Linked DNA regions of Alligator mississippiensis. Each later gene encodes a partner of the first gene's protein in a complex. Links are inferred from orthologs where the notes say so. Each region holds a gene or a part of one and is shown on either strand. Other genes may lie near its edges. The genes, in order: CFB and CFP.

Region 1 (10,855 bases):
TCCCCCAACCCCCCTCTACCCCCAATACCCCCCAGCCCTGCTCACCCAGGAAATCCTCCCGGGGATTGTGGATGTCACGGCCAATGCTCAACATCTCCCGGATCTGCTTGACGACGGGCACTGGAGATCCCCCCATATTCGTTTTGCCTGGTGGGAGGCAAAGGGGGGACTCCAGCTGGACTGGGGGGGGGGCCCTGATGCTGGTTTGGGGAGACGGGGAGGTCTGCTGCGGAGCCCGTGGGTGGGGTAGGGGTGTCAGGGGTGTCTGAGGGGAGTTAGAAGGTCTGGGGGGAAGTCAGGGGAGGCTTGGGGGATCCAGAAGGTGTCCATGGGGTATGGCAGGGTCCAGGAGTTATTGGGGCAAGAGAGAGTTTGACAGTCCAGGGGAGGTCCAGGGGGATCTGGGGTATAAGGGAGACCCAAGGGTTATTGTGGGGATCAGGGGGGCTAGGTTATGGAGGGGATCCAAGGGGTACTGGGGTTGGGGGGGGTCCAGGGAGTGCCAAGGGAGATGGGGTGCCTGTTGGGTCTCGGGGATAGTGGAGAGGTCTGGAAGGTGTCAGGGGGCACAGGATGGGTCTGGAGAGGTTCAGGGGCTGTCACTGAGGTCTCAGGGTGCCAGAGGGCCCAAGGAGGCTCTAGAGAGTCCAGGGGGTGATCGGTGGGTCCCAGGGGTCTGGCCCCACTCACCATCGGTCATGATGATCAGGACGTGGCGGGTGGAGTTGACAACAGGGGCTGGGGCGGGGCCATGCCGCAGCTGCTCCTCCTCCTGCTGCACCAGCATGTGGTAGACGGCCTCCAGTGCTGCCCGAGTGTTGGTGCCTGCCTTGTACGCATGGTCTGGGGGGCAATAAGGGGTCAGGGCCTCGCCTGGGTGGTCACAGACCCCCTCTCTGTCTCCCCTGGGGGCTGAGTGGGGCAGGAACAGGGGGTGGGAGGGGCCAGGGGGCAGATCTGGCTGGGTGCAGTCCCACCCTCCACCTTCAGGTGGCCCCATAGCACCACACAGAGGTGTAGGCACTAGGGACACTCTGGTCTCTCTTCTCCTGGCTGCTCTATGGTCTTCCCTTTTTTCCAGTCTTGTCCCCCAGCCCCTTTTTGACCCCAGCTCTTGCACCCCACCCCCTTCCATCCTCAGCTCTTGTCCCTGCCCCAGCCCTGGTTCTTGCACCACTACTCCCTCCAGCCCCAGCTCCTGCTCCCGTCTCTGCCCTGCCTCTGCCCCTCTCCCCCATGCCAGCCTGGGATTTCCACACCCCTGCTCACCCTTGTATTTGAGGCCCTCAAGCTGCTCACGCACCCAGTTAGCATCGGCACTGCGGGCGTCCTGGGTGCTGATAACCACGTGGGGCTCGCTGGCAAAGGTGATGAGGCTGTAGTGTGGGAACACCCCGTAGCTGGAGACCTGGGGGGGCATGGCATCAGGGAGGGCAGTGGTGGGGGAAGGGCAGATACTGGGTTGGGGGAGGCACAGCATGGCTTTGAGGTGCCATGGGTGGAAGGGGAGGACATATTTGGGGGATCCTGGGGTGCTCCCAGCAAGTCAGGGGGGCCCACCTTCTCGACAAGCTGGCTGAGAGCGTCGCGGGAGCGGGTGAAGTTGTCGGTGCCGATGCTGTCAGAGGCATCGAGCAGCAGGTAAATGTTCATGGTGCCACCTGGCTCAATGCGGATGCGCCGCTTCTGGCTGTCACCTGCAGTCAAGGGTCAGAAGGCAGGTGGCTACCCCCCACAAACCTGGAGAGCCTCAGCCTGGCACCCAGACCCTTCCTAGAGACCCGTGGTTCCCCGCTATCCTGACCCCACCCCCCACAATGCAGCCCTGCCCCCAACCACCCCTGGCCCTCCCTCACCCCCTACACCCTTAAAATTACCCCCCTCCCTCCAGCCCTGCCCCCCCAAACCAGTCCCTTCTCCCCCAAACTGACTGAGGGAGGTGTTGGCCTCGGCCTTCTCCACGGTCTCGGACAGGGAGGCCAGGAAGGCGGCAGCCACGTCACGGGGTGTGTCATAGGCGTACGGCGCTAGGGGTCACAGTGTGAGGGGGGTAGTCAGCATGGCCCCTCCCAGCCCTGCCCCCACCTCTGGGATCCCCCCCGGCCTCCTGCCTTTGGGGAGATCTCCCAGCCCACCCCAGGTACAGTGCCAAAGGGGGGGTCCCCTCACCCCCCCAGGTGTTGATGGTGGCAGAGGAGACCCCCTGCCTCCCCAGGGACTCAGGGTCTCTCTAGGCCCCCCCAAGACCCCTCCAGTGCCTCCCCAGATCACCTGAGTGCTCACACCCCCCCATTCACCCCAGCCCCTCCAGGACCACCCCCCAGTGACCTCAGACCCCACCACTGAATGCTCCCAGCCCCCACAGTGACCCCAGACTCCCCAAAACCCCCTGAGGTCCCTCAAAGTCCCCCAGACCCTCTGTGACCTCAGATTCTCCCCCAAACCCCCCAGCCCCCTTAAGACCCCACAGACCCTCCCCAAATCCACTGGGGTCCCCCCAGATCCTCCTGGTGATCCTATCACCCCCCAGTCTCCCCAAGACCCCCTTAGACCCTCCCCAAATCCCCCAAGACCCCCTCAACCTCCCCTCTGGTGACCCCCAGAACCCCTCTAGCCCCTCCCAGCCCCCCAGCACTCACTGCGGCAGAGGGGGGGTGTCCCACTCCAGGTGCGGTCCTCTAGGCAGGTGCGATGTGCGGAGCCAAGTAGGGTCAGGCCAGACCGGCACCGGTACTGCACCTCGTCCTCAGCCCGCAAGCCCCCGCCCGATACAGTGGCCCCCACTGGAACCCCCAGCGCTGGACAGTGGCCCCCTGGGGGGACAGGGCACAGGTCAGAGGTCAAGGGTCAGAGGTGCATCCAGTTTCCCCCCTGGCCTCCCACCCAGCTCTCCATCTGTTCACGCCCCGCCCGCCATGTCTGTTCCTCTGGCGCCAGGGTCTGTCTGTCCATCCAGGGTGGATGTCTTCCCATTTGTCTGGGACTCGTGGCTGGCTGTCTGCCTGCCTGGGACCACTGTCTGGGGCCAAGGTCCATCTGTCCTTCTGTCTGTCTGACTGGGGCTATCTATCCGTCTGTCTGTCTAGGGCTGGGGTCTGTCCATCCATCTGTCTGTCTGTGGCCTGGTGTCTGCTGGTCCGTGTGGCTACGGCCAGTGCCTGCTTGTGCAAGGCAGGGTGTCTGTCTGGGCTGGCAGGTGCCCCTGCCCCATCCCCCCACCCCCCCGACTCACCGCCATCATCACAGACGGCAGGGGTGCCGCTCCAGGTGCCCTGGGGCAGGCAGGTGCGGACACCAGAGCCACTCAGGGTGAAGCCGTCAAAGCAGGAGAAGGTCAGCTCCTGGCTCATGTTGTACCAGGCCTGGCGTGGCCACCACGTGCCATGCAGGAACTCCACCGGTCCCGGGCACCGAACCACTGTGAGGCAGGGGTTAGGGGCAGCTGGGACTCCTGATCCCCCCAGGACCCCGCCCAGCCTCTCTGCAGGGTCCCTTCAACCTCAGGACCCCCCAGCCCCTCCACAGGACCCCCACACCCCTGAGATCCTCCCGACCCCCCAGTCTTTCTGGCTGGCCCTGCATCCCCGTCCTCCAGTCTCCCCCCGACAGACCCTTCCCAATGCCCCCAGCCTCCCCAGTGATCCCAGAGACTCCCCCCAGACACCCTTAGACCCTCCTCAAATCCCCCACAGCACCCCCTGAAACTCCCCTAAAATCCCCCAGGATCCCCCCTTGCTGATCTCAGCCCCCCCCTTAAACCCACCTAAATCCCTGAGGACCCCCAGCTCCTCCCAGTGACACCCTCAGAGCCCCCCCAACCCCTCCAGCCCTCCCAGTGACTCCAGACCCCCTGAGACCCTCCAAAATCCCCCAGACCCTCTCAGGAAACCCAGACTCTCCCCAATTCCCACAAAACCTCTCTGCCTCCTCCAGTCCCCGCAGCTCTCCCTGGTGACTCTAACCCCGCCAGACCATCCCAATGACCCCCTGAGACTCCCCCTAAATCCCTAAGGACTTCCCAGCTCCTCTCAGTGACCTCTTCAGCCCCACTGGTGACCTCAGACCCCCCAAGACAGACTCCACCCCACCAAATCACCCCAGCCCTGCCTCCAGGTCCCACCCAGACCCACCTCGGCACTCAGCCTTGGCCACAACCCGGTTCTGGGTGTCCCGTAGAGGGCTCCACATGCCGTTGCTGCGGCAGGCGCGCAGGGCTACGGGGTGCGGGTACTTCCCCTCTGGGCATATGTAGCGCAGCCATCGGCCCCTATCTGCCACCTCCGCCTGGCCCCCCAGGATCGGGGCCCCCTCCGGGTCGCAGCTGCCCTCCGCTGCAACTGCCGCCCCTGGGGGACACAGCATGGCCAGGGTCATGTGGGCCTGATCCTGGAGGGTTGGTGGGAACTCGATCCTAGGCCACCTGCTGGTTAGGGGCCCCGATCCTGGGGGCAGGGGGCCTGGTCCGGGGGGGCAGGGGGTCCTCATATGGCCTGATCCTGAGGCAGAGGGCCTGATTCTGGGGGAGGCGCTGAGGGGGTCCTGATCCTAGGGACAGGCAGGAACAATCCTGAGAGGGGCTGGGGGTGCTGATCCAGGCCTGATTGTGAAGGTCTGGGGGCCCCGATATGGGTCTGATCCTGGGGGTAGTGGGTCCCAACCCTGGGGAGGGCTAGGGGTCCCAATCTGGGTCCAGTCCTAGGGGGTAGGGGTCCCGATGTGGGTCTGATCCTGGAGGCAGGATCCTGGGAGGGGGCTGAAGGTCTCAATCTAAGCCTAATCTGGGCCTGATCCTGAGCATGAGGGCTGGGGGGCCTGATCCTGTGGCTTGGGGGAGGCATTGTTCCACTTGGCTTTTGCCCCACCCCAGACCTGGTCGCATTGTGAGGCCCAGGAAGGACATTGTCGGGGTGGGGGTGGAAGGATCCAGACCCTACTGAGGGTCCCAATCCAGGCCTGATCCTGAGGGTTGTGAGTGTGTGTGTGTGGGGGGGGGGTTGTTCCACTTGGCCCTCTCCACCCACCCCAGCATTGGTCGCATGCCCAGCACCCAGGGAAGCCCATGGCAAGGTTGGGGGTAGGGAGAGGTCCCGATCCAGCCCGATCTGTGAGGCAGGTGGGGGCCACCCACCGGAGCCAGCCGGGACCAGGAGCAGGAGGCAGGCCAAGATCCGGATCAGTGCCCTCGGGCCCATGTCTGTCCGTTTGTCCGTCCTCTTCCTCCGCAGCTCTCTCGTCTGTCCGGCTGGGTTGGGGCTGGGGAGGGAAGCCTGGAGGGGGGGCAGCCCTGCTCTTGCGTCACCCCCCCTTCTGGGAAATAGCTCTGGGGAGGACAGGGGGGATTCCCCGCAGGGTGTGGGGAGGGGATCTTGCAGAGGAAGGGGCGGGGGGGATGCAGAGAGAACCCAGGCATCGGGACAGAGGGGAGGGTCACCCCAGGGAGGGGGGGAAGCAGGTGAGTTCTGGGAAGAAGAGACAGGGGGGAGGCAAAGGGTGCGGCCCAACCCCCCCGCAACCCCTCCATTGGTTGCTACTTCCCTGTTGCCCCGGCCAACACCTGCATTCCCTGGAACAGGGTGTGGAGCGAACCCAGGTGTCCAGGCACCCTGCCCAGGACCCAGACCCCCTGCCAAAGAACCCTCCCCCTGACACGCAGCCCACGGGGTCTGAAGTTCAGACTGTGTTTGTCTGGTGGAGGTCGTAAACCCTGCACCTGGGGCACTGTCAGGGGGAAGCTCGCTGCCTAGGGGCACTATCAGGGACAAGGTCCCTGCCTCAGGGCACTGCCAGAGGGAAGCTCGCCACCTCAGGACACTGTCGGGGGGAAGTGAATAGCCTTAGGCCACTGTCAGGGAAAAGCTCCCCACCTTGGGGCACTGTTGCGAAGGGAAGTTCACCACCTCAAGGCACTGTTACAGGGAAGCTCACTGCCTCGGGGTACTGTTACAGGGAAGCTCGCTGCCTCGGGGCACCTGTCGGGGGAAGCTCAAAGCCTCAGGGCACTGTTACAGGAAGCTAGCAGCCTCAGGGCACTGTCAGGGAAAAGCTCGCAGCATGAGCACAGGCCAACAACCACAATGAAGTTCTGTCTTGACACCAGGACTTTATTGTTCCATCAGCAGCACGGGATGCTGGGAAGGGACTGAGCGCAAAGGACTGTGGGCCATTGGAGCAGAGCACAGGATGCTGGGTCGGGCCCTGGGATTTTGGGGAGAGATATGCTGGCCAGGCCACGGCTGTGTCTGGAGCAAGGCATTCTGGGATGTCAGGGGTGAGGGCCCCACACTCTAGGGCATGCTGGGATGTTGGGGGTCTCTACAGCAGGGCATGCTGGGATGGTGGCAGTGGGGGCCCGTGCCCTGGCCCATGAAGGGATGTCAGGGGTCTCTACAGCACAATATGCTGGGAGTCTCTGGGATGGCGTTGATGGGGGGCACCCACTCCGGGGCATGCTGGGCAGCGGGAAGTCTTCTCAGCAGGCCATGCTGGGATGGCAGCGATGGGGGCCATTCCCCGGGGCATGCTGGGATGGTGGAGGTCAGGGGCGAGGGGTCAGGCCGGGGGCAGGAAGTGGAGGGCGGGGCTGAGGTGCTCCCGCAGCCAATCCTGGGTCTGGAAGAGGCTGAGGTAGAAGTCGCGGGGATGGTGCCTGTGGGGCGGTGGCTTCCTCTGCATCCGCCCCTGGTTGTCAGGGCGACTCTGGGCACACGGGTTGTAGGTGCCCCAGCTGACCACGCCCACCTGCAGGACCAGGCGGGGGCAGGGTGAGGGACCCAGGCATTGACCTCTCCCCCTCCCCGCCCAGGGGACCCAGGAGTCCGGGCCAGTGCGGGGGCTGCACCCACCTGGAAATACCTCATCTTCTTCTCCACGAACAAGGACCCGCCGGACTCACCTGCGGGGAGGGGAAATTGAGGCCTGGGGGGGGGCCAAGAGGCCCTGCCCCTATGGGCCAGGGGGCAGGGCCTAGTGCCCTCCCCCCCAGCCCCACCCCCACTGGTGCCACTATCCCAGCATGCCTTGCTCAGGGACTCCCACCTTCCCAGCATGCCTCATTCTGGCCCATGCCCTGCTCCGCTTCCCAGTATGTTCCTCCCTTCCCCCTGCCCCGCCTCTTCCTAGCATGCCCTGCTGACCCTTGCAGGTGGAGGCCTCAGGCTCGCCGGTGCTCTCAGGGCCGGAGCAGAGAAAGCGCTGCGTGACCACATCCGATACGTTTGCCTTGCCTGCATATAGCGTCCCTGGCTGCACTGCTCCCTCTGTGCAGCGTGCCCACTGTGGGGGGACAGGGGTGAGCACCCGTGTGCCAGAGTGCCCTTCTGCCTGCACACCTAAGTCCCCTTTGCCCAGATACTGAGGTTCCCCTCCATCAAAGGGGCTGTGGGAGCCCAGATGCCTGGGTTTCCCCCACCTGCCTGGACGCCAGGGTTCCCAGATGCCTGGGTTTCCCCTGACCCGGCTGCCTGGGTTCCCTCCAGCAAGGGGGCTGTGAGAGCCCGGATGCTTGGGTTCTCCCCTTGCTCTGATGCCTCAGTTTCAACCTGCCTGGACACCAGAGTTGCCACCCACCCGGACACCAGGGTTCACTCTAGCGAGGGAGCTGTAGGAGCCTGGGTGCCTGGGTCCCACCCCACCCAGATGCTGGAACTGCTCCCGCTCAAGACACCTAGGTCCCTCCCCTCCCAGATGCCTGGGTCGCTCACCATCTCATTGGTCTTGATGTGCACGCTCAGGCGCTCATTGTCCAGAGAGATGAACTGGGCCGGGACCCGTGCCTGCCTCAGCAGTTCTACCTCTGCCGGATGGACGGACGGAGAGATGGAAATGTCAGGACCCCGCGACGGACCCCCACCCCATGCCAGAGGTGAGACATGGGGATGCCCAGGAGAGCCCGGACACCTGGGTTCTCTGCACAGGGTTGGGGCTGGGGGATAGGAGTGGAAGGAGCTTGGGAGCCTGGATGCCCGGGATGGGGATGGGGTCTGGAAGCAGCGGGGTGGGCGCCTGGACGCCTGGGTTCTCTGCACCCACCGTGGTCCTTGCAGGTCGCCCTCACTGGTTTCCTCAGGGCTCGGTTCGCCTCCTTGGTGCAGGGCAGGCAGATCGGCCTGGGGGGTGGGGCTCATACTTATGGCCATGCCCCATCTTCAAGCCACACCCACAGTCTCTAAGCCAACCCTTACCTCTATGCCCTGCACTAAGCCCCACCCCTCACTTTCTATGCCCCGCCCACACTCTATGTCCAAACCCCATTCTCTAAGCCCCACCCCTTCATATGCCCCCCACACCTGATGGTGGCGGAAAAGTGCACGGGTCTCTCCAGCTGCAGCAGGGAGAGGTCATAGTCATAGAACTCAGGGATGCCTTGGTCCACCTTGGCCCGGACGTTGTACTGCGGGTGGTCGAAGCGCTGCGCAATTTGGATATCCTTGGAACCTGTCGCGGCCCCCAGGTCAGGATTGAGCCCACCCCGGCCAGGATTGGGGCCCATCATGGATCAGTATTGGGCCCCCTCCGCCAAAATCAGGCCCCCACAGGTCAGGATCAGGACCCATCATGGGTCAGGATTGGGAACCCCCTCCCCAACAGCCAGGATCGGGCCCCCACAGGTCAGGGTTGGGCCTCTTGCAGCCAGGATCAGGCTCTCTGGTCAAGATTGGACCCCACAGCCAGGATCGGGGACTGTCGTGGGTCAGGATTGGGCTCCTCCCAACAGTCAAAGTTGGGCCCCCGCAGGTCAGGATTGGGCCCCCCACATCCAGGACTGGGGCCTCCCTGTCAGAATTGGACCCCAACACAGCCAGGATGGGGTCCCCAGGTCAGAATCAGGGCCCATCATGGGTCAGGATCAGGCTCCCCTACAGCCAGGACCCCCAAGTCAGGATCAGGGCCTCACAGGCAGGATCAGCCCACCCCCCAGTCAGAATTGGGACTTCCCAGCCAGGATGGGGCCCCAGCTAGGATTGGGCCCTCTCCAGGTCAGAATTGGGCCACTTCACAGTCCAGAATTGCCTCCCTCCCCATCCCCAACCTCCTGCAAGGGTCCTATCCTCCCACAGGTCAGGATTGCACCCCACCAGGATCAGGCCCATCATGAGTCAGCATCTGCCCCCCACCCCCAAGACAAGATTGAACTGGGTGTCCAGCGCCCACTCCCCCAGGCTCCCCGGCCTGATCCTGACCCATGATGGTCCCTGATCCTGACCTGTGGTGGCCTGATTGTCACTGTGGTGGGGCCTGATCCTGATCCGGGGGGGTTCCAGGGGACCTTTTTTCCCACTCCTACTGGACACTTGGGTTCCCTGGGTGGGGAGTGGAGACTGTGGGGAGGGAGAGAGTTGGGAGGCTCCCAGATGCCTGGGTCCCTTACCTATGTTGACCCTCCAGAGCTTGGTGTTCTGCACATTGTTGAAGCAGTGCGCAGCTGTCAGCACCCAGCGGTCGGCCACCAGTGACCCCCGGCATGACTCCCCCCGTTCTGGCTGCAGGGTCCAGGGGGTCCAGGTCAACCACCGTGGGGACCCTGGTGTCCAGGGCCTGTCCCCCACTTCCTGGAGAACCCAGGTGCCCAGGGAGCACTGGGTGTGAGACCCAGGAATCCGGGTGGCACTGGCCAGCCCTTAGGTAGGTGGGGGCTCTGGGATGGGGTAGGGGACCCAGGTGTCTGAACAGCACTGCCTCTGGGTAGGTAGGAGGACCTGGGACAGGGTAGGGAACCCAGACATCCAGGCTGGGGCCCATCTGAAGCCTTCAGGGGGCGGGGGGTAGGACATAGGGAACCCAGGCATCCGGGGTCCCCCTTACCCTAATGACCACGTGCCAGGGGTTCATCTGCTGGGCTGTGGCACCCTCTGAGTGGTTCCCGAGTCCACACACCTCCCCGATGCTCTTCACATCTGGAGAGAGAGGGGGTGGGGTCAGCTCCGACCCCTCTCCTCAGCCCCAGGAGGAGAAGGGGATCTGGGATCTGCCCCCCAGGGGGGGCAGTTCTATACCCAAGATGCTGTCCAGGGTAGTGCGGAGCTCCACAGGGCCATTGAGCTTGAAGGCATGTTGCTCCCCAATCTTCTTGGAGGCAATGGCGTTGAGGTCTTCCCACTCCACATCCGTCTGCCCCACTCCAAAGGCATAGATGTCTGAGAGACAGGGCAGGTGTTGGTGCACCTAGGCCCCACTAGGCCCAGGCACCATGGGAAGGGATGTTGGGAAAGGTGGGTTCCATGGCATGGGGGCATTTGGGAACTTGCTGAAGCTTGGGGTAGGCAGTGGGGCACCTGGGACTGGGGTTGTGGCACCTAGAACAAGGTTTGGGGCACCTACAATGGGGTTGGGGCAGCTAGAACTGGTGTGGATGTACCTAAAACCACAGTCAAGGTGGTAGGAACCAGCATTGAGGTACCTAGAACTGGGATTGGGGGCACCCAGAACCATGGTCAATGCACACTGAACTCATGTTGAGGCATTTAGCACACCTAGAACCAGGATTGGTAGACGTAGAATTGGGCTGGGGCACCTGGAAGTGGTTGTGGTACTTAGACCCAGGATTTGGGCACCTAGAATGGGTGTTGGGGCACGTAGAACTGGTGTCGATGTACTTAAAACCACAGTCAAGGTGTCCAGAATTAGGGTTGAAACACTTAGACCTGGGGTTGGGGCCCCCTTGAACTAGGATTGGAGCATCTATAATCACAGTTAAGACATACCTAATTAGTGTTGTGGTATCTGGAGCTGGGGTTGGGGCACCTTACCAAGGATGGGGCACCTAGGACTGGGATTGGGGGCATTTAAAACAGCAGTCAAGGCACCCATAACAAGTGTCAAGGTATCAAGGACCAGTATTGGGCCACCAAGAACAGTG
Region 2 (10,902 bases), on another chromosome or scaffold:
GGCCATATTTGTTTTGGCTGACATTTCTATTGGCCATGATTTTTGGTTTTGGGAAGAGGTCAGCCATGTTTATTTTGGCTTTGAAGGGTATTGGCTTTGTTTGCTTTGGGTGGTGGCCTCGGCCGTGTTTTTTTTGGCTTGAGGGATGGTGTTGGCCATGTTTGTTTTGGCTTGGGGGGGGTAGCATCAGCCATATTTGTTTTGGCTGGGGAAGATGTCAGCTATGTTTATGGTCAGCATTGACATAAGCCATATTTATTATGGCTGGCCGTTGTGTGTGGCGGCCATGTTTTTTTGATGTGTGTCTGGGGAGAGGGACCTGTTGGCCATGTTTGTTTTGGCTGGGTCAGATGTGCAGCAGCATGTCAGCCATGTTTGTTTTGGCTTTGGAGGGGGCGTCAGCCATGTTTGTTTTGGCTAGGGCCAGGTTGGTCATGTTTTGTTTTGGCTTCAGGAGGGTGTGTCGGTCATGTTTGTTTTGGCTGGCATCGCTATCAACTGTTTATTTTGGGTGGGCAGGTCATGGGCCACCCTTGACTGGAGAGGCTACATAGCATTAGCATCAGCCATGTTGGGAGCAGGGGCGCCTGCCATGTTTCTTTGTGCCCCTGTCCATTGCCGTGTTTACAGCAGATGGAGACATCCAGATCTCCCTATTTTGTCCCTTGATTTCCTTCCTGGGGGGTCAGAAGTTGTCAGGGTGGAAGTCCCACCTCCCCTTACTTTTTTTATTCCTGGAGGTCACCATGGAAACTTTCTATTCCCTGCTTGTCGCTATAGAAACCGTGGAGGAGGAAGCCCCACCCCTTTTTATTGCAAGGGGACCTCTGTGCCAGTGGTTTTGTTGATTTATTTCTTGACAATCAGTTGTTACCATGGAGATGGCCCACCAGGAAATCCTGCCCCCTCCAGCCCCACCTCTTGCCTCCTGGCACCTTTTAGAGCTTGGGTCCCTGTTACTGGCTTCCTGTCTGTTACTGGAGAAACAGCTGAGGCAGAAGTCCTGCCTCAAGGACTCTCGTGCTTCCCACTTGCTTCATTGCTGTGGTAATGGTGAAAGAGGAAGCCTTGCTTTGTTTCCCCCACATTGTCCCCTGCCTGCGGTTTAGGGCAATGCTTTCTGTCACCACAGAAATGGCAAATGAGGAAGTCCTGCCCTCACAAAAGAGGAAGTCTTGCCTTTTCTCCTTCCCCCTTACAGCCTCCCAGGATTGCCCTGAGACTGCAAGATTTATAATACATGAGGATTAGTGGGGAAGAATTTGCCTTGGCTGACTTTCACAACTCTTGGGTAGGTGTCATTCAGGCTTTTCTTTTCCTCCGGCAGACATGCTGAGACTTTCTTCACAGCTCTCACCAGACCAGGAGCTCCTTCTGCCTTTCCAGCAATGGTCAGGGATGCGGCTAACCAAAGCATCAGCCTTTTTCCAGCCTCTCTGGGAATCGCTTTCACCACCTTCACATGGCTCTTGGGATGTCTTTTGGTCCCCACTACTTGTCCTCAGGCTCTTTGCTGGGTGCCTGTGCCAGCTGCGAATCTGCCTCCGATGCCTTTAGCTTCCCTTTTCAATATGCTATGTTTTCTCATTTTGAAGAGAAACTTCCCGCTATCTCTCCTTTTCTCACTCCAAGTTGCTTGATCTTTTCCCTTTCACTTAGAAGGCACCTGGGCCCTTTATGGGGACAGGCTTTGACTTCAATTTCTTTTGCTTTCTCTTGAGGTCAGTAATCCCAGCATTTCTTTTTTCTGGTCTTGCTGCTTTCCCCCTCTTTCTTCTGTCCCACTACTTTTTCTTCTCCATTTTAAGGAGGAAAATCTCCTTGCTTTGAAAGCCTCCGTCCCCTCCTGGCACCGTGGCCCTGCCGGCTTCAGGACCCCACACCTGTCTTGGGTAGAGTGGAGAGATTGTAATCTGTGTTCTCAGCCCAGAGTCACCCGGGGTGCACGTGTGTTGCTCTGTCACCCTTTCGCGGTCTCCTTTCTGTGCTAGACCTGTCCTGGGAAAGGGCTGGAAACCCTTTATTTATTGCTGCCTGTTCCCAGAGTCCTTTTTATTGTGGGGTGGGGGTCCTTGAAGACCCAGCCCCTTAGGCAGCTGCTGGCTGCCTGACTTTTTTGGGCTTTTATATGATATAATATCCATCTATTTTTTAACAAGGGGGGTGGAGCTTAGCCCGGATTAACCCAGCCACTGGCTGGGGGTGTCTTACCCCAGGGTAAGTTGGGGGGAGCAGAGAAAGGTATTTTTCAGTCATAAGAAACTTTGCACTGCCCCATGGGGGCTTTGTTTCTTCTTTTCTGATGCATCAAGCACTTTGGGGGGGGGGGGTTCATATGTGTTCCCAAGGGTCACATGTGTGCCCAAGAGTCACAAGGAGAAATGGAGGGGCAGGGTGGGGGGGGATACATGCGTGGTGCTGGGCTGAGACAGTCCAGGGCGTGCACCATGGGTAAGGCATGGGAGGGGAGCTTTCTCCCTGCATGGGAACTATGTGTCAGCTGCGGACAGGGCATGGTAAAGTGCATCTGACCCGTGGGTGATGGACATGTAAGCTGGGGGGGGAGGGGGACTGCATGGCCCACCCATGTGAGGTGCGGGTAAGATCTGTGTAGCAATCATGGACATGATACGTGTGAGTAAAATACATTTGAGCCTACCTGCTTTGTCAACTGTGAGGAAAACATGAGGCAGACATGTGAGGGGTAAGGAAAATGTTTGTGAAGTGGGGGTATCACATGTGTGAGCCATATATAAGTTGTGGGTACAATGCATGTGAATCATGGGTAAAACACACGCAAACTGTGTTGTAAAACACACATGATCTGTGTATACACTATGGGCAAAATGTATATCAATTGGGAAACATGTCAAACACATGTGAGGGATGGGTGACGCACACACCTGAGCTGTGTGTCAACTGTAGGCATGAAGCTTGAGTAAGATGTGTAAATTGTGTGTGAGCCGTGAGGCCATGTATACATGTAAGCCATGTATAAACTGTGGGTTAAACCCATGTCCATTGTGGGTTTAACATGTAAGCCATGGTTAAACCATGGGGAATGTGTGTGATTTGTGAGGAAAACGTGTCAAACACGCGTGAGCTGTGTGTAACACATGGGTTCAACACATGGGTTGTGGTTAAAACCCATGTCAGTTGTGGGTATGACATGGAAGCCATGAATAAACCATGGGTTAACGTGTGTGTCATGAGTTGAACATGAAGCCATGTGGAAAGCTTGGGTCAAACGCATGTAAGCTGGAAGGTGAATGCATGTTGCCACGTGTTAAAAAGACCCTTCCTCAGACAACTGCAACAAATTCTGAAGCACATGGAAGCCATGAGCAAATATGCCAAGCCATGGGGATATCATGTGTTCTCTGGGAGGAGAACACACTTGGAGCCCAGCTGAAGAACACATGGAGCCCATGTGTGGGCATGAGAAACATGTCACTTCTCTGTGGAGCACACATGTGAACAGTGAGCAGAAACCACATGGGGAACAGTGAGTAAAGAAAGGCATGTAATGTATATACAACCAGGTCACGCCACACACACTACATGGAAACGATTTGCCAGAAACGTGTAGAAACCATGCAGAACCCAGGAGGGTGAAGCACGTGGTGAATAATGAGTAGCATACATGGAACGTGTACAGAATGGATCAAAACATGACAGACAACCCATGGAAACCATGAGGTAAAACGTGTGATACAGAGCATTGCATGCGTCATGAAGCAGAAGACCTGTAACATACATGTGAAATGTGTCATATCCACTTAACCAGGTGTGTGACCCAGGCACAGGGCCTAGTTCGGTTTCCATTGCCATGACAACAGACTAGGCTGCAGCTCCAACCTAGTGGATTTGTGGGCATGGGTGGGGGGAGGGGCTGAAGGGTATCAATGCAGCTGCGGGGGGGCAGTAGGTCTGGGGGGCAATCAGTGGCAACATTGGAACAGAGCCAGGGAGGGGGGCACAGTCAGTCAACACTGCCACCAGGTTGCTAGGGAGGAATCTGTTGTTGCCATGAACACCATGGATGGGCCATTTGCTATGGTGGGCTCCATGCTTGCTACAAAGAGGCTGTTACTGTGGAGACTGGTGGGGCTACATGGTTGCCAGGGAGGAGGATGGGGTTGCCAGGGGGAATTCCATGGTTGCCCCAGAGAAGGTTGATATTGCTAGGGAGAATTCCAAGGGGTTGCTAGCAGGATATGGCTGCTATGCAGCCCGGGGGGGGGAGTTGGGGGGTAGACGCACGAAATTCTGCTGTTAACCGGCATGACGTGATTGTCATGGGATCCCATGGCTGCTGGGGAGGATATAGTTCCTCCGCCCCTGCCCAACCCTCCCTCCAGCTAGCTCTAGGGCTCCTCCCCTTCCTCCCTCTCCCGGCTCCAGATATGGGCAGCTGAACCCAGGCATCCATCTAGGGGCAGCTTTTTCTACTCTTCCCAAGGGCCTAAGGGGAACCTAGAGCAGGGTGCACTGGGTGCCCATACTCCTGGGTTTTCTGGGAGGGGAGTTGGGGGCTGTGGGGTATGGGAACAGGGCTCTGGGAGCCCAGAGACCTGGGTTATATTGTCTGCAGCGCAGCTGCTGAGGAAGGACCCTGTGTGGGGAACCTTTAAGGGGATGAAATCTGATGCCTCCATTTAGGGGAGGAGCGAGTCAATGACATTGTAGGCCTCAAAGTAATATCATAGGGCCTGGGAATGGGAAACCCCCAACCTGGAATCTTACAGCTGGGGGTAGCCCTGGGATGGGGCCCTGGTGGGGGCTGTCAGTTGGAAGTGAGGGGCACCACAGGAAGTGGGGGGTGCAGGTCAGGAGTGAGGGTCACAGTGGAGTTATGAGGGGTCTGCAGGTCCAGAGTGAGGGGCACCACAGAGTTGGGAGGAGGGGTTGTAGGTCAGGAGTGAGGGGCACTGCAGGGCTGGGGGTCAAACACAAAGGACAGTAGGAGGGGATGTGGGTCAGACGTGAGGGGTACTGGGGGGGCTGCAAGTCAAGATTGAGGGGAATGGGGGGGGCTTCAGGACTGGAGTAAGGGACAGTACAGAGTTGAGAGCAGGGCTCCGTGGGACTATGGGGGCAGGCTTCGGGTCAGGCATGAGGGGCTGCATGGGATTTTGGGAGGGCTGTGGGTTGGGAGTGAGGGGCACTGGAGGGGGGCCTGTGGGTCATGATTGAGTCATAATTTACCCCCCATTCACTGTTCCCTTTTCATGGGGGGGCAGTGAATCTCATGCTGGGAGAGGGCAGGGGGTCCCCTAGAACACCAGGGTCCTCAGGGCCTTTGAACATAGATTTGAGACCCCCTCCACCCCCTCCAAGAAGTGCCCATGTCACTAGGTGGCAGGCCCCACACCATTTAACCCCCCTGGCCTGGGGGTCAGTGAGGAACTCCCCTGGGCCTTGCCCCCACCCCATCTCAGCCACAGGAACCCTATCCCCCCAGCCAGATTTGGGCCCAGCTGGTCTGGTACTAGGCTGAACTCAAGCCTGGTCCTGGTGCCATGACAACTCAAGCCTGATGCCCCTGCCATTGCTCCTGTTCAAGGGAGGCACAGCCCAGTCAGACCAGTTGGGGTCCTCTCAGCTTGGCCTAGTCAGACCAGTTTGGCTCCCAGTCCAACCCAGTCTGACCAGTTCAGCCCCCAGCAACCCCCCCTCCCCCACCCAGGTCAGATTTGGGTCTGAGTGGGGACACTAAACTAGACTGAACTTGGACCTGGTCCTGTTGCTATGGAAACTCAAATCTGTTGCACCTAATATTGCTCCCATTGTGGGGAGAAAGGGAGGCAGGGCACAGTCCAGTCAGGCCAGTTTGGCCCACTCCCAACTTGGCCCAGTCACATCAGTTTGGACCCTAGCCTGGCCCAGTCACATCAGTTCACCCTCCCTCACCCACCCACTTGGCGCCTCTCAGCCTGGCCCAGTCAGACCCGTTCACCCACTTCCCCACCCCCGCTTTGGCTGCTGGCACCACAAGATCAAGTTTCTTTTCCTTGGAAGTCACCAACTTCCTCATTTCTGCACCCACCCTCCCCCTCTTGCCCCCACAGTTCCTGTCCCCCTTCCCTTCCCCCCCTCCCAGCTCTTTCTTTCCTCCTTGGGACCACCAGGGGCCTCGCCCTTCCAAGAAAATCATCCCTGCTTCCCTCTCCTTCCTGGGCCTGGCAGGGACAGACATGGGGCTGCCCTGAAACCAACCCCACACCACCCCCTATCCAGCCTGGGCACTGGGACTAGCAAAACTGGATCTGTGGTGCCCCTCACTCCTGACCTGCAGCTCCTCTCCATGGTGCTTCGCACTCCCAACCTACAGCCCCTTCCACAGGCCTACAGTGACCCTTACCCCTGACCCACAAGCCTCATTCCCCCGCTTAATTGTGCCCCTCACTCCTGACCTGCTGCCTTCTCTGTGGTGCCCCTCACTCTTGAGGCACAGCCCCCACTCCACAATGGTGCTTCACTCCCAACCTATAGCACCCACCCTGCAATACCCCTTACTCCCAACCTGCAGCTTCCCCTTGTGGTGCCCCTCACCTGCAGCCCACCCATCACCCCATGGTGCCTCTTACCCCCGCCCTCCCCGTCACCCCATGCTGCCCTTCACTGTTGCCCTTCATGCTCGACCAACAGTTTCCCACATCATGCTGAGTCAGGCTCTTGGCGACGTCCTGGGTGGGGCGGGGCTGGTGCACATTGCCCTTCTCCTCCTCCCCTGACCAGCTCAGAGGCTGTCTTGGGAGTTGTCTGTGTAGCTGCAGCGTTGGCCTGTTGTCTGTCCATCTGGGTCCATGGATGGTCCATGGACCATGCCCCTGCTCCTGACAGCCGCCTGCTTGGCCTGGGGCCTGCTGCCCCCAGCAGGTACCTGCCTGGTTCCTGGGTTCTTTGTTTCTGTGTCTCCCAGATGCCTGGGTTTTGTGTGTGTGTCCCTCCAGACACCTAGGTTCTGTGTTCTCTGGACACCTGGGTTCTCTGTGCCTGTGTCCACCTGGACTCTGGGGTTCTTTGTATCCCTTCAACTTCTGGGTTCTCTGTCTCTCTGTCCCCTGAAGCCTGGCTTCTCTGTGTCTATGTCGTCCGTCCGTCCCCCCGTCCCCCCCCCCCCACCTTGGTTCTCAGGGAGTCTGTTAACCACCCTCCCACCTTCACCCATCCCCAGACACCTGGGTTCTCTGCATGCCTGTGCCCTACCCGAGATGCCTGGGTTTTCAGTGTGCTCACAGCCCACCTGGAGGCTTGGTTTTCCTGTATGTCCACTACCCCCCAGACACCTGGGTTCCCTGCATGTCAGTGGCCCACCTGGACACCTGGGTTTCCCATGTGCCTCCCCACTCTGCCCCCCCCCCCCCCAGGGAACCTGGGTCCCATGCCTCTCTCTCTTCACCCCCGCCAACTGTGTTCCCTCAGGTGCACAGATCGGGCGGTGCTATGTAGACTTTGCGGATGGTGCCTGCCGAGACCTACTGGGCGAGGGGGTGGCTGAGGTCGACTGCTGCCTCAACCCACACTTTGGCTACCGGACCCAGCCTGACGCACCCTGCCAGGCCTGCGGGTTAGTGACCCCTCCCCTGCCAGGAACCCTCACCACCAGAGCTTTGAGGGGGTCCTTTGTTGGGACTCCACAAAGGACCCCCTCACCCCTGAGACCCCCAAAAGCTACCTTGAGACCCCAAGAGACCTCTGGTCCTGGACCCCCCTGAGAGATACCCCTGACCCCAGAGCCCCCTCCCCCCCCGGTATTCCCCCTGAGGCCCCCTACAGAACCCATCCTTGAGGGCCCCCCCACGTAAGTCTCCCAGCCCCAGAGCCCTCAAGACTCCCCCCTGAGGGAACCCAATCCCCAAGTTCCCTCCAAAGTGACCCTCACAGGATCCCCCCATACAGGACCCCCAGATCCCCCCTTGGAGTCCCCCCTGGACTCCCACAAGATGCTTTTCTGAGAGACCCCCATCCCTATGCCTCCCCCTGAGCCCCATGCCCTTGAGAACCCCCACAGCTCCTCCTATGTTACACCCTGAGGGACCCCCCCAGGACACCAGAAACACCCCACACAGAGCCATCCCTGTGGCCCTAGACCCTCCCAGAGCCCTTTCCAGCCTGGAACCCCCTGAGGGATCTCCCCAACCCCCCCAGGGGCCCTTGATCCCCCATGAGATCCTTCCCCCAAGACACCCCACCCAGAGCTTGCCCCACCCTGTGCTCCCCCCCCCGAAGGGCCTCCACCCCTTTGAGACCCCAGGGGGAGGCCCCCTGTCCTGAGGGCCCTAAACCCCCCTGAGGGGAGTGTGGTGCCCGCAGGCCAGCTGTGTGGGGGGCCTGGTCACCATGGGGTGCCTGCTCAGTATCATGTGGGGAAGGGGCCCAACGCCGCCAGCGCATGTGCCAAGGCCGGGAGGGCTGTGCCAGAGGGCTGCGGCGCCAGCGTGAGGTCCAGGCCTGCACCCCCAGCCCCTGCTGCCCTGGTGAGTTTCTGCATCCCACATGGTACCCCCTATATCACCCCGTACTTTCACTCCCTGTAGAACCTCTATAGCCCCCGCCACCTGCACCCCCTGTAACACTCCCCTACCTTCACACCTATAGCACCACGTAACACCCCATAGTATCCCCTCTCATTATAGCACTCCTACAGCACCCCCCTACCTGCACCCCTTATAGCTCCCCCCTACTTACACCCCTGTAGCACCCCCTGTAAGTCTCTGTAACACCCCCTATAGCACCCTCTGTACCACACCCTGTAGCACCCCTATAGCACCCCACATACCTGCACACCCTAGAGCACCCCCAGCCCCTGCTGCCCCAGGAATTCTGTGCACCTAGCATGGCACTCCCAACCCTGGCACCCCATATAGCACCTCTCCAGTAACTGCTGCCCCGGTAACTGTATACACCCCATATAGGACCTCCCCATAGCACCCCTACAGCCCCCCCCTTGCTGCCCCTAAATCACTGGGGAGTGGGGCAGAGGGAGTGGAAGTGGGTGTCTGGGCAGGGAGTGGCTGGGAGGGTCTTAGAGGGCTGAGGGGTCCATGGGGAGTCTCAGGGCTGAGGGCATCTGTGGAGGTGGAGGGGGCCAGTCAGGGGCTGTGTCTCAGGGCTTTGCAAGACTGTGGGAGAACATGGGGGGGGGGGCTGTGGGGGTCCATGGGAGTGGGTGGGGGTCCAGGGCAGTCTCAGGGCTAGGATGTGGTGAGGGAGTCTGGGGAGGGTCATCCCGGAGATTGTCATGGCTGTGGAGTAGGGGAGACCATGGCAGGATTGGGGCTGTGGGAGGTCCATGGGGGGGCCTCAGGGCTTGGAGCAGGGGCCATAGGGGATCTGGGAACATTTTTGAGGGGGATGTTTGGAGGTGGGAGGGAGTGTGGGAGGAGGCCCATGGGAATGGGGAGGGGCCATAGGGGGCCCTGTGGGAGGGTCTCAGGGCTGGGGGGGGGTCTGTGGGGGTGGTGTCGTGGTGGGAGGGGCTGGGACATCTGCAGGGGTGGGGGACTGTGGGGGGCACTAGGGGGAGTTTGGGAGGGGTTGGGGTGTCCTTGTGGGTTGTCTGGGGGGTGGGAGAGTCTTAAAGGTGTAAGGGGGTGGGAGGTTGGAGGGATCTATGAAGGTGGTCACTGGGGATGGAGGGCCATGGGGAGGGTCCATAGTGTGGGGGGTAATGGGGGTCTGGTGGGGGGGTTCAAAGCTGGGAGAGGGTGGGGGTTTCTGTGGGGTCAGGGTATCTGTGTAGGGTCTGTTGGGGGCTTTTGTGGGGGTCTCAGGGCTGGGAGGGTCTGGGGGATCTATGGGGATGGGCGCCTTGTGAGGGTGGTCTCAGGGGTCTGTGCACCAGCGCTGACCCCCAGTCATGGGCAGTGGTGGGGGGTTGGTCACCATGGTCGCCATGGGGCCCCTGCTCGGTGACGTGTGAGAGTGGGGAGCAGCGCCGCACCCGGACCTGTACGGAGCCCCCACCAGCCTGTGGCGGCGTCTGCCCTCCTGGGTCATCCAGCGAGAGCCGCCCCTGCCGTGACCCCCGGCCCTGCCCCAGTGAGTGACCTTTGTGCTGGGAGCTGGGGATAGAGGGATAGATGGGGGATTGGAGGGATGGATAGACCTATGAATGGATGGATGGGGGGATGTGTTGGGGGCTGGGACCAGGTTTGGGGCATGTGGGGCTGCCCCCTCTCCCCTGACCTCTCTTACCCCCCAGCACATGGATCATGGGGCCCCTGGGGGCCGTGGGGCCCCTGTTCCACCACGTGTGCCCCTGACGGCCCTGGCCCACGGCCCAGTCAGCACCGCCAGCGCCTGTGCAACAGCCCTGCACCCTCCCAGGACCCCCCTGGCCAGGCCTGCCCTGGCCCCAGCACCCAGGACCAGTCCTGCACCAACCTGCCCTTCTGCCCAGGTATGGTGCCCCCAGCTCAGGGCAATTACTGAATAGAACACTACTGGGGGAGGCTGGAAGTTGACCAGCTCTGAGGTGGAATGGCGAAGTGTAACTACCCAGGCAGGGCTGAGATGCAGCCAGCTCTGAGGTGGAAGAGTCAGGGAATGGCTGAGTATAATGCTGCATGGGGAGGCCTGGGAGGTGCCCAGCTCTGAGGTACAACAGTCATATATAACAGCCCGCAGAGAGGCCAGGATGCAGCAGACTCTGGGTGGGGGCAGCATGTGATGCCTATGTCTCCACAGTGGATGGTGCGTGGGGTGCATGGACAGCAGCTGCCCCATGCCCCGTGACCTGCGGGCTGGGGAAGGTGACACAACGCCGGGCATGTGACAGCCCTGCACCCCAGCATGGCGGGACCCCTTGCTCTGGCCCCAATACACAGACAAACATCTGCAACACACACCAGCCCTGTCCAGGTACCACATGTGGGCTGGTCCATACGTGAGCCT

The links.
Region 2: the proteins of CFB (region 1) and CFP are in contact, whole or in part, in a crystal structure (PDB 7NOZ), measured with the Homo sapiens proteins. The link is inferred for Alligator mississippiensis from reciprocal best matches to the Homo sapiens genes CFB and CFP. Residues at the interface, in NP_001701.2 of Homo sapiens: Glu54, Gln56, Ser78, Thr316, Tyr317, Leu349, Ser351, Met394; in NP_001138724.1 of Homo sapiens: Arg329, Arg330, Asn331, Lys333, Pro341, Met420, Val421.

What each region holds. Positions count from the first base shown.
Region 1 is NC_081834.1:62,562,643-62,573,497, forward strand, and holds the start of CFB (complement factor B), read right to left. Parts: upstream 5,453-10,855; 5' UTR 5,193-5,452; coding exon 5,129-5,192; intron 4,347-5,128; coding exon 4,131-4,346; intron 3,419-4,130; coding exon 3,233-3,418; intron 2,814-3,232; coding exon 2,640-2,813; intron 2,028-2,639; coding exon 1,932-2,027; intron 1,698-1,931; coding exon 1,561-1,697; intron 1,409-1,560; coding exon 1,270-1,408; intron 844-1,269; coding exon 691-843; intron 148-690; coding exon 46-147; intron 1-45. Other genes in the region: complement C2, read right to left, coding at 6,550-6,738, 6,843-6,892, 7,134-7,272, 7,701-7,792, 8,029-8,105, 8,286-8,433, 9,368-9,479, 9,802-9,893 and 1 more.
Region 2 is NC_081831.1:27,689,632-27,700,533, forward strand, and holds the start of CFP (properdin), read left to right. Parts: upstream 1-6,697; 5' UTR 6,698-6,809; coding exon 6,810-6,882; intron 6,883-7,428; coding exon 7,429-7,573; intron 7,574-8,319; coding exon 8,320-8,483; intron 8,484-9,873; coding exon 9,874-10,047; intron 10,048-10,210; coding exon 10,211-10,408; intron 10,409-10,695; coding exon 10,696-10,869; intron 10,870-10,902. UniProt on the Homo sapiens protein: A positive regulator of the alternate pathway (AP) of complement. It binds to and stabilizes the C3- and C5-convertase enzyme complexes. Inhibits CFI-CFH mediated degradation of Complement C3 beta chain (C3b).